2 linked regions of the Neodiprion lecontei genome follow. The protein of the gene in region 1 interacts with the protein of each later gene in a pairwise test. Links are inferred from orthologs where the notes say so. Each region holds a gene or a part of one and is shown on either strand. Other genes may lie near its edges.

Region 1 (4,774 bases):
CACTCTGTATTTATTCCTAGGATAATTATCTAGTACACTATTGAATATTTTCGAAAATCTACGGAACACGAATCGTCGCGTACGTCACGTCACCTTGAACAACGAACGTGAAAGGATAATAAAATGTGTTGTGTTCTGAACTCAGCTTGCTGTCTTTATCTCTCTTGCTCTACCCGATTTTTCCTGAGCTCTCTCTCAGTCTTCAGAAATTTTTAGGACCGGCAGCTTATCTCGGAACACAACGGAATACACCCTACCTTTAATCCCGTAGAATTTTTAGTACCGATGATTCGTTTGAAAATACAGTAACTGATACAGCGTCATCACCAAGATGAAACTTCGAACTTGGCTCAAGCCTCTAACACACAGCAGTCATGCATATTTTCTGTAGATGTAAGGTTAGGTTGATTAGGATATGTTACATCTGATTGGTGGATACTTGAAATTCCACAACTTTTATTTTCATTTCAGCGAGCAGCACAATGACGCCAAGTAACTGGTTATATTCATTTAAATAAATAGTTGATAATTTATTAGCTGTCAGCATTACATATCATTATTATACTTGTACATAGGTACGTACATACATACACATGAATTGCCTATGGATAAATTCGACATTGTAGTGATTAATTAATTAAATAACCATGGGACGATAATTACTTAATTCAGTGATATTATTAATACAATTGTACTAGGTTTTGAATATAACAAAGAGGAAGCTGAGGAATATTATACTAATTGTTAGCACCATAATACAGTATAATTTGCGATTCGCTCTTTGGTACGTATCAGCTTTTTTTAATTGCTTATAACCCTCTTGCACTTGTATCTGTGTCTGTTCAACGTTGTAGTCAATTCGGTCTAATACGCTACCTTGATCCTGAACCATGTGTGCCAGGTCCTACAAAAATCATAAGCAGATTGTTAGTAACGATTGTCCATTGGTTTGTTTTATTTGGTTGTATCAAAAATCTACAAGTATTGTTGTATTGAAGCAAGGAAATAACTTCATGGTAAATCTCTACCTTAAATATATGATTTAGATCAGATATGCTCTGTACAATATGTCCGACTTCTTGTTCTCTTATCATTGCTTCTCTGGTCCGCTCTTCGTCATCAAATTCCAAAAGGACCTCTTGCTGCAACTGCCGTTCGTGTTGTTGTTCATAGTTACTTCCACCAACCTGAGCAAACTTTAAATCTGTTGCCCATGAATCCGATGGTTCAACAGAAACAAACTCTTGATCTTCCTCAAAGTACTGCCGACTTCTTTCTTCTCTCGAATTCAATTCTGTCATTAACATGGATTACATTTAGATAAAGCCTGGATGACGATTGAATAATCTTTACACGATTATGTTGTGAATCGGATTCTGTGTTTCAGCCTTCAGATATTTAAACAAAGCCACGATCTTAACTGACATAAATTTGAGTTTTTCTTTTAGATGCGATCAAACCTAGATAAAAACATATAGACATATCAATGTCAATTTGCCCAAGAGAGAACTGCAGTTGCATTGAGTGAATAAAAGTAAAATCGATAAAATGGAGCATGCATCACTGAACAGAGATCTTTTGAACCTATTTCTTTTATGTTTTCTCCCCCAGCATTTTAGTAATGAATAAGATTCTGACTTTTATCAAACTTGAACATAACAATTTTTACTTGACTTGGAACATCGTGACTTTTAGTTTAATTTTAACACAGTGTTATGTACATCTTCAGGTTTAGGATTCTGGCTGAACAGATGATAAAATTATATCAATAGTGATAGTACGCTGTAAGTAGTGGCTTTGCGCAGCTCGATAGGATAACCCCAGCTCCTGGAGAGCAGTGGAAAGAGCTACTGCGGCACTGGCTGCAAGTCGACGTTCACTTGCTCTACTTTCTTGTCTGGCAGCTGTCTTGATAAGTTGCACTTGCCGATGGCCACTTGTAAATGCTCTTCCCATCTCTCTGGTCAATTGTTCCATCTGCCTTTCTTCCTGCACATGCCATACAAAATTATGCTCAACTTTTTTCAATAGAGCTATTTATTACAAATATTTACATTTAAAATCCCCTGACATTAATTTTTTTCATTTGAAAAGAACATGATTATTCGCTGAAATCTATTTCAGGCAATAATATATTACAAGAGGCAGAAAAAGGTGGAAGGCAAATAATATGCTGATACTTAGATATTCCATTTACATTTCAATATGAATTGACTAGAGCCTTATGCCAGCTCCAGTCATACCTGAGACGTGTCATCCAACGTTGGCCTGGTCAAATGCTTTGCATGAAGTTCCTTTAATTCAGCAAGCTTTGCTCGCAGTCTACTAAGGATGTATTGGGTTTCTTCCAGAGCATCAGACCATGCAGGTGGTGCATCTCCAGCCAAATTCAAACCCCCTAACTCGACGTCACCTCCAGTCATTGATTCCGGGGCTACAAGAGCCATTCTGTCCGACAAATTCTGTGTTAAAATAGTAATTATCGCATGATGATTTGCTGTCAATTGGCATATGGTTAATCAAACCAAGTTTGAAGAAATTACTGTGGGCTAACATCAGTAAATGAATTAACGAAAATTTTCTTACTTGTTCAGAGTATATGTGTCGAGTCTGTGATGCATTGTTACGCATAAGAATAAAAGGTTCTGTTAAACTTCGAGTCGCCATTGTTTTATTACAGTACAGTCTTTATTAAGTCTGACTCTAAATATTTATCACTCTCGTTTTTTACACCTTGACAGCTCTAAGACCGAGCCGTCATCAACAGGGAGTCGCAGTTGTCATGTTTCTAACCACGGAATTTTTATTTTTCAACGAATCGATCCATTGTTCTGTAACATGCACGGCGAAACGTTTAGTTTCTCTTAATTGGGATATTCAAGGGCTTTCTGAAGTATCAGTTCCACCTTCATTGCTGGCCATGTAACATTTTATCTAAATTTAATAGAGTATACGACGAGCCTATCTTGGTTTCTATCCGTTTATGTGACTTATAATACCGAACATTGACTTGGGCATAGACGAAATAAATATTTCAAGACAAGTAACTAAACTTCATTATTTGGTATGAAAAAGTAAATTAGGAATGTTGGCATGTTAACCGTCTGAAGTCAACGTTAATGGGTCGGTGAGAGAGAATAGTTGGTAATTGCAGGAAACTTCTATATTAACCGTATTCAGGCTCATCTAGCCCACACTTTCCGCGAGCCTTACACCCGTATTCATAGTCCTTCCTTGAGAAACAAGGATTCCTTGTTCCTCATTTCACGTTTCACGAACAAGGAATCCTTGTTCCTCAAGGAAGGACTATGAATAAGGGTGTAAGTTCATATAACGATTTTAGCAATGAGTTCATGCACGATCAGATCGAAAATCACGCAAATGTATGCCAACTACGGTGCAAACGTGCACGGGGCATTCAATAGATGTAAAGTCACGTAACATTCTAACAGGCACGACCATAAATTCTCTGTTAGATTTTCTGATCCTATGAAGGCAACATACGATGTGATATTCTCGCATGATTCCTATCTGACTCAAACAGGGTTGCCGAACCGTTCGAATGCTCATTCCGTAAAAGATAAGTCTGTAAGTTTCAAGCAAAATGTTCAGATACACGTTGATACGAATCAATTGGTTTTATATAGCAATTGCACTCTTTGTCCTTGAAATCTTCCACTTTATAATAAAATACATGGGAAAAGTATAAAGACTATTACCCAAGGACTTAGAATTAGATTGAATTGGTATAAAACACATTAATTTTCTTTGGCCATTGGAAAGTGCTCAGAAGAGACAGACCGATTTTAATTTTCATTGAACCGATAAATCAGCTAGCTAATGATAAGAATGGGGTAGCATGAGAGTTGCGTGACGTAGCTGGCACGAATGGCACAAAATAATTTCATACGCCGTAGGCACTGATATAGTTATATTGCCAATGGCATACATATTTTCACTGGTTGCATTGGTGTGTATCAGTGTGTATTGTGGTTAAATAATGAGTATAACGAGATGACAGGGTGGTATCAGTGCTTTGACAAGATGATTTATTGCAATTTTCACCTTTTTGTTAGCTGGAACCAAACTAAAAAACATCGAACGAAATTATACTTTTTCGCGGATACGTAATACCGATGCTGGTGTAAAATGATTGTCAAAAGAGTCCACGCGGAGACGCTTCAAAGTTTAAAGACCTTGACATTTTTTCGATCTAATTTTGATCTGTCGCAGTAATATGTCGCCTCTGGCAAAACGTGCGGGAGGGGGGGCGTAGAAGTCGGAAAAAGGGGTGGCTAGCTAAAAGCGAAACGTCTGGTATTCAGGGTAATTTCAGTGCAACTCTTTTTTCTAGCAACTATAAATATATTAATATAATTCGAACAAATGCGTGGAATTCATTTGAACATGCTATCACCGGTGCGCATCCATGAAGCCAGGAGGACACATGAAGGTGTGGAAAGTTTGCGAGGGAGGTTAGGCAACAACTGCGCTGAGAACACTGACAATCCAGAGAGTTGCATTGAGTATGACGATGAAACCGACCGACCAGATGAAAGTGCCAGTGTAACACGTTGGGATATAATATTTCTGAGTTTTTCTATCGTTACCCATATTTTCGATATCGGAGCTGACATCAACTTAGCGGCTCGATATCTGATCTATAACAAGATAACATATTTTGCTTGGACTGTCGTGTTCATAATTTTTCCGACATTTGTAAATACGTTCATCAGCTTCAGAATAAATTACCAGGACCGCCAGGTGGATATAG
Region 2 (5,937 bases), on another chromosome or scaffold:
AAATCTGCAATTTTGTCGGGAATAATTGTTAATATGTAATATACAAAATACAATATTGACATATACGTTTACACAACATTGAAATAATCTCGAAATTGAGAATAACCTACCAATACTATATAACATTATTAACATTTTTGCATGGTTAACTCGGCAGCTAAATAGTATATCTTCAATGAAACTGGTAAAATATTACGTTATTATTAATTTAACATTATTATAGCCAATATATGTATATTTATTATAAGTATATATGTATATATGAATGTAGTCAGTGCATTATGTTACTAATTATGAGTCACTTAAGGTGAAAAACAGTACAAAGCAATGATATTAGTTACAACGATTCAAAATTGAATTTTAAGTTTTTATAACGTTTCAAAAGAACGGAGTTTCAGTTAATTCAGAAATGTGAAAAAAAAAAATTCGTCGTAGATAATATATCCCCACTTATGTTAGCACTGATTGTAAATTGCCACAAAGTAACGAACGGGAACTGGAAGAATGAGAAACAACACTTTCTCCTGGAAGTTCGAACTTTAATTTAAATGAAACATATACACATTATTATTCTGAATTGTAATCCAGGTAGCCTTTCTAAACGTTATAAACAACCTAATGAGGCTTTATCGCTATCTGTGCCTCTGAGCTATACCTTCAGTAGTGATCGTGCCATGTACTTTTAGGAACAAAAAAATTCATCGTTATATGTTCACTAGCAAAAAATTCATAAGTGTCGGATAGTAGAAAAATTTAATAACATCCGTTCCAAATTGAATCAGGCCCTGTGTAAGTGTGAATGAAGAATATTGACGTACTAGTGTTACAAACCGATTCCAACAGAATGTATTTACTACCATTCTTGAATATATTTCAATTCTATACAATGATACTTCACACATTTCTAAGAACGATAAACAATTTCGTGAGTACTTTAATAAAACACAGTATTCGTTTATCCCCTTCAAGACGCAAGGGTCTGAAGATATTCTATAAGCCTGGCTATGAGAGGAAGATGTGCACAATCTGAGTGGGAAGATATTAATGGCATATTATTATGTGTAAAAGAGTGAAAAGATCAGCGTAGGTCTGGGTTGTCGTTGACTTGTTTCTTAATGCGCAATAAGATCGTTGTGTACCAGGAATCCAACCGTGATATGGAATCATACTCCTTAACTGCTTCTGTGTATCCTTCCAAATTTTGTTCTTCTAGGTGCTCGATTAGCGTCTGTGTCAACAACAAAAAAGTAGGTGAAGATTTTAGGACAAAAACATACTTAACTATCTTAAGTATCTGGCATTTATCCACGTAAAATTTGAACTTTATTTCATTTAATGTTGATAATAAATTACTAATTTACCTTGATAAGTTTGTATTCTCTAGAATCCTGAAAAGCAGGATATTGTTCTTGATAACGTTCGATCGCGTGTTGAGCATTCAAAACATCGACGCAGAGATGGCATAATGCAGCACGAAAAAAGTACTCCTTCGCACTATATTTCAACAGCGAGCTTTCGAGGGACGAAGAGGCGACCTGTAAGTCATCAATCTCTATAAAATTATACATTACATCTCGCATAAGAGCAAGTGTTTAATTTGTTCTATTCTTATACACTAAGATCCCCTACCATCCTATCGTAAACCAAACAGTTAATATGAATCACACAAACCTGTTCATAAATCTGGATCGCTTTGTCGTAATTCTCAAGTTGGGCGGCATATTGTGCCACCTTGAGCAAACATTTATTTGCGGAAGAGTTACTTTCTTCACCCCGGAAATAGTCGGCTGCCTGCTCGTAGTGGTTTACTGCTCTATCAAGGTCGACAGACTCACTCTCATACATCTCTGCTATACTTTGATGGTGCTTAGCAGCCATTGTGAACCTTCCCATGTCCGTATATATCTCTATTGCTTTTAGAAGACAGCTAACTGCCTCTACAATATTGTAAAAAAAAACGTCAAATGAGAGGCACGTTCAGTGATTGCAATTCAAGACAGTTCAACCTATATCACACAACAAACAATCATACCATTTGGATCCGACTTTTTATAACAGTTGGCAGCATCTACGTAGTTTGTCGCAGCATCGTGTCTGCTACCAGCTTTGCCGTGAAGATTAGCTGCTTCACAAAATGCATTTCCTGCGGCTCCCCACTTTTTTGCCATTTTGAACATATTTGCTGCACGCTGATAGCATTCTACTGCTTCTTCTACCTTCGACGATCCTCTGTGGAGTAATACGCGCTTTTTTCAAATATTTTGTACGAATAACACAACGATTACACTGCAGTTTGTAATTACCGCTTTAGATTATTAAATTATCAATGCCAAAATGAAATCTATTCATCAGATAGATTGACAAGATTTTCCCTAATATCTCACAAGCTAGATACAGGCTGAAATTTTTTAATATAAATTTCTTGTATGTGAGATTCGGAAACATCATTGGAACAAACTATATCTTCAGTATTGCTTGGTCATGCTTCAAAGTTTCATTCCTAAACTGGTTTAACTATGATCTTCAAATTTACCTCCATCAGTTGTATGAAACAATTTTTAATGTAGGCATAATGTGTTTTTTGAGAATATTTTCTGTCATCAGTTTGTTAAGTAACATGAATTTCGTCTCGGACAAGCAAGTTCCTCATTCATCAAAGAAATGATTTTTCTGTTTAACAGTAACATATGTCTGTGAATTTTTAATGATACTTAAAATATCGTAGAAGATAATTCTTAGAAATTCGTTATCCATTTTATAAAAAACAATCAAGCATTTATGTTAAACTGAGATATCTTCAGCAGTTTAATTAATCACGTTGCATAACATTTTATCAATACTTGTGAAACCATTTAAATGAAGTTTATCTCTCAGCAATGAATTTTTTTGAAATGCATACCTTTCCTTGATTGAATCAACGAGTAATCACCCGAATATATTGCTCAGTGAATAAGTAATTTTATACTCTTATTTGTATTTCGATATCTTGTACTGCAAGTAATACACATAAACAAATAATTGGGTAAATATAAGTCCATGAAGAATAAATGTAATGGATAGTCTTTACAAAAATAAACTTAATTCAGTGGATTGAGTGAAGTCCGAATGTCGACAGGAAGCATTCTGCATATGAGAATAAACAAAGCTAAATAATACCATATCATGTTATTGTGAAGTTAAGATCAGGAAAAAATATGACTAAGAATACATTTTGTAATTGTTTCAGTTTTCAGTCGATTAACACAAAAGAACAAGGTAATGGATGCTAAGTTTACAAGCACTCGCGACCCTACTTACACAATATACTTGTTCAGTCGTACAGGACATACGACATACAATAACAATTCGGCAAATTATTGTTTAAACTTTAATCATGTGTGTAAATTTAAGATTGTCGAATGTCATATGGACCTTGTCACTCAACCATTGAACATACTGACTCTAAATTGATGTGTAAATTTGGAAGGTTTGTTATGCCCTAAGAACTGAGATTGGAGGAAAATTGTTAGACCTGGAAGTAGTGCCTAAACGTAGCAATGAAGGGGTCGAGTTATGCACGTACATTAAAAAAATATTCATTTGATTTCAATATCAAACTCTTGATGATATGAAATTGGCGAATTCTCATGATTCGTACGATGAATTTCAAGTGATAGTAAAATACGTGAAAATGTATCGAAAATATGTCACTTAGGAATAGGATCGTTTATGCAAATCAGTAAGGAGCTCGTCAAATTGCGACGTACGTATCAATAAATTCGTCCATCCTTGCAGTCTGTCATTTTTCTGACAAATCAATATCAACTCACCCGAAAAGAGATCCAAAGAAACCTTTCGAGGAAGTTAATTTTTTTTCTGCCTCAGCCATGAGCTGTATGGCTTTCTGCTCATTGTCACCCATTATGATAAATACTTTTTAAAACACTTCGCTATTTCTCTATTATACTGTCACTCGCTTTATTGACAAAATCCATTCACTGTGCGCCACCAGTGAGCTCTGACCTGCTCTGACGTCACCATGAAGGAAACATCCACCCTATTCGTTTTCACTTATTTCCACTGAGGGAAGACAGGGGGGATCGCCGTTTGCCAATCGCGTTCGTCTATCTATGTGAAACCAGAAATTGAGCCATACATTGAGGTTAGGTTGATCCGTGTTTTGCGGGTGTTATTTTTTGATATGAAATGAAAGTGATATTCACATTTATAGGGTAATATTAAATGCCTGAACTTATATGTATGCATGTTTTATCATACATCATACGCCAAAGTCGAAGAACATTACCGTTCTTTTTCCTAAATAGATTTATGACTTGATAGTGGTGCATCCATCTGGCGGTGGAATTAAACATTATGCCGCTCAAGCTGAGTCAACGGCCGGGAGATGATCTTTGAAAAGCGGCCTACGTGATATAAAAAATTTTAAATGGTTTTACAGCTGTTCAATGGTTTAATCCTTTCAAGCTTTACAATATTTAATTCACTCGACGGGGCTGGGAAATATTTTATAGCAGGGATGACAAATTAACATAACAAACAGGATAGGCCTTCGTATTCGTGTCTACCTTGTCAGCAATTTCGTCTGTCTATCCATTAGTTGGCCATTGACCATTAGTCCCGGTTGTTACTCATATGCTCTTTGCGGTAGAGTATCTGTGGATTAGGTTGTCCCTGCTTTTCCTACCTAACTTTCTGCCAAATTTCTGGGTAAGTGTCTGGAACGGTTGTTTTTAACAAAAGAAGCCGTAAATTGTAATTGTATCGTGGTTTAATCATTATCCAAGGACTTTATTGTCGTTGACCGATGTACAATCATGCGTTATTATTTGCATACATTAAATCGGCACATGACTTATCTGCGTGAATCGATTACATAAATGTCTACACACTTATGCACGCACACAGGCATAAATTTCTGCTCGTCTGACATAATTCACCTTGTAAGCAAGTCTTTTTACGATTATAATTAATTTCAGGGGCAGGCCAAAAGTAAAGATGCTTCGTCAGACGTTAACTTTAGTGCCTGCGCACTCGCAGCAGCTTCAACAGCGGGGTATGGCGACTTTAAAATCCATCTCACTGCGTCTGAAGTCAGTTAAAAACATCCAGAAGATTACTCAATCGATGAAGATGGTGTCCGCTGCTAAGTACAACCGTGCGGAGAGGGATTTGAAACAGGCCCGCCCCCTTGGAGAAGGCACCAAAGCTTTTTATGAAAAAGCTGAAATTGCAGCACCGGAAGGAGTACCGAGCAAACTCGTAATTGCAATTACCTCAGACCGAGGTCTCTGCGGAGCTTGCCACACAGGAGTTGCCCGCAACATTAGAGATCAGCTCCTTGCAAATCCTGCAGATAAAGAGAACACAAAAATCATATGCGTAGGTGAAAAATCACGAGCTGTCTTAGCCCGAATTTTTGCCAATAATATATTGTTTGTTGCCTCCGAAGTTGGTCGCCTGCCACCAACTTTTACTGATGCTTCCAAATTGGCTGCAGAGATTTTAAACAGTGGATACTCCTTTGCATCTGGACGCATTGTCTACAATAAATTCAAATCTGTCGTTTCCTATGGAGTTGCAGATTTGCCTTTGTACGACAAAGATTCAGTTGCCACTGCTCCGAAATTGTCCATCTATGATTCACTAGATGATTCCGTCATTCAAAGCTATCTCGAGTTTTCTCTAGCTTCTCTGCTCTTCTACAGTATGAAAGAAGGTGCTTGCAGCGAGCAGTCGTCCAGGATGACTGCTATGGATAACGCAAGTAAGAATGCCGGTGAAATGATTGAGAAACTCACTCTGACCTTCAATCGTACTCGCCAAGCTGTCATCACCAGAGAACTTATTGAAATTATTTCTGGAGCTGCTGCGCTTGATTAAGCATACCGCTATAGGGGACGTTTAGAAATCAGATAGATTTAATATTCTTCGCAACAG

The links. The genes of interacting proteins can lie anywhere in the genome.
Region 2: the proteins of syntaxin-16 (region 1) and alpha-soluble NSF attachment protein interact in a two-hybrid assay, tested with the Drosophila melanogaster proteins (2 studies listed by BioGRID). The link is inferred for Neodiprion lecontei from reciprocal best matches to the Drosophila melanogaster genes Syx16 and alphaSnap.

What each region holds. Positions count from the first base shown.
Region 1 is NC_060262.1:42,178,251-42,183,024, reverse strand, and holds syntaxin-16, read right to left. Parts: upstream 3,044-4,774; 5' UTR 2,668-3,043; coding exon 2,587-2,667; exon of another isoform or gene 2,463-2,586; coding exon 2,244-2,462; intron 1,990-2,243; coding exon 1,782-1,989; intron 1,295-1,781; coding exon 1,029-1,294; intron 905-1,028; coding exon 695-904; 3' UTR 510-694; downstream 1-509. Other genes in the region: XK-related protein 6, read left to right, coding at 4,387-4,764.
Region 2 is NC_060263.1:28,720,387-28,726,323, forward strand, and holds alpha-soluble NSF attachment protein, read right to left. Parts: upstream 4,022-5,937; 5' UTR 3,902-4,021; coding exon 3,810-3,901; exon of another isoform or gene 3,767-3,809; coding exon of another isoform or gene 3,747-3,766; intron 2,230-3,746; coding exon 2,033-2,229; intron 1,938-2,032; coding exon 1,672-1,937; intron 1,536-1,671; coding exon 1,362-1,535; intron 1,229-1,361; coding exon 1,079-1,228; 3' UTR 519-1,078; downstream 1-518. Other genes in the region: ATP synthase subunit gamma, mitochondrial, read left to right, coding at 4,996-5,880. UniProt on the Drosophila melanogaster protein: Required for vesicular transport between the endoplasmic reticulum and the Golgi apparatus. Also between the endosome and phagosome.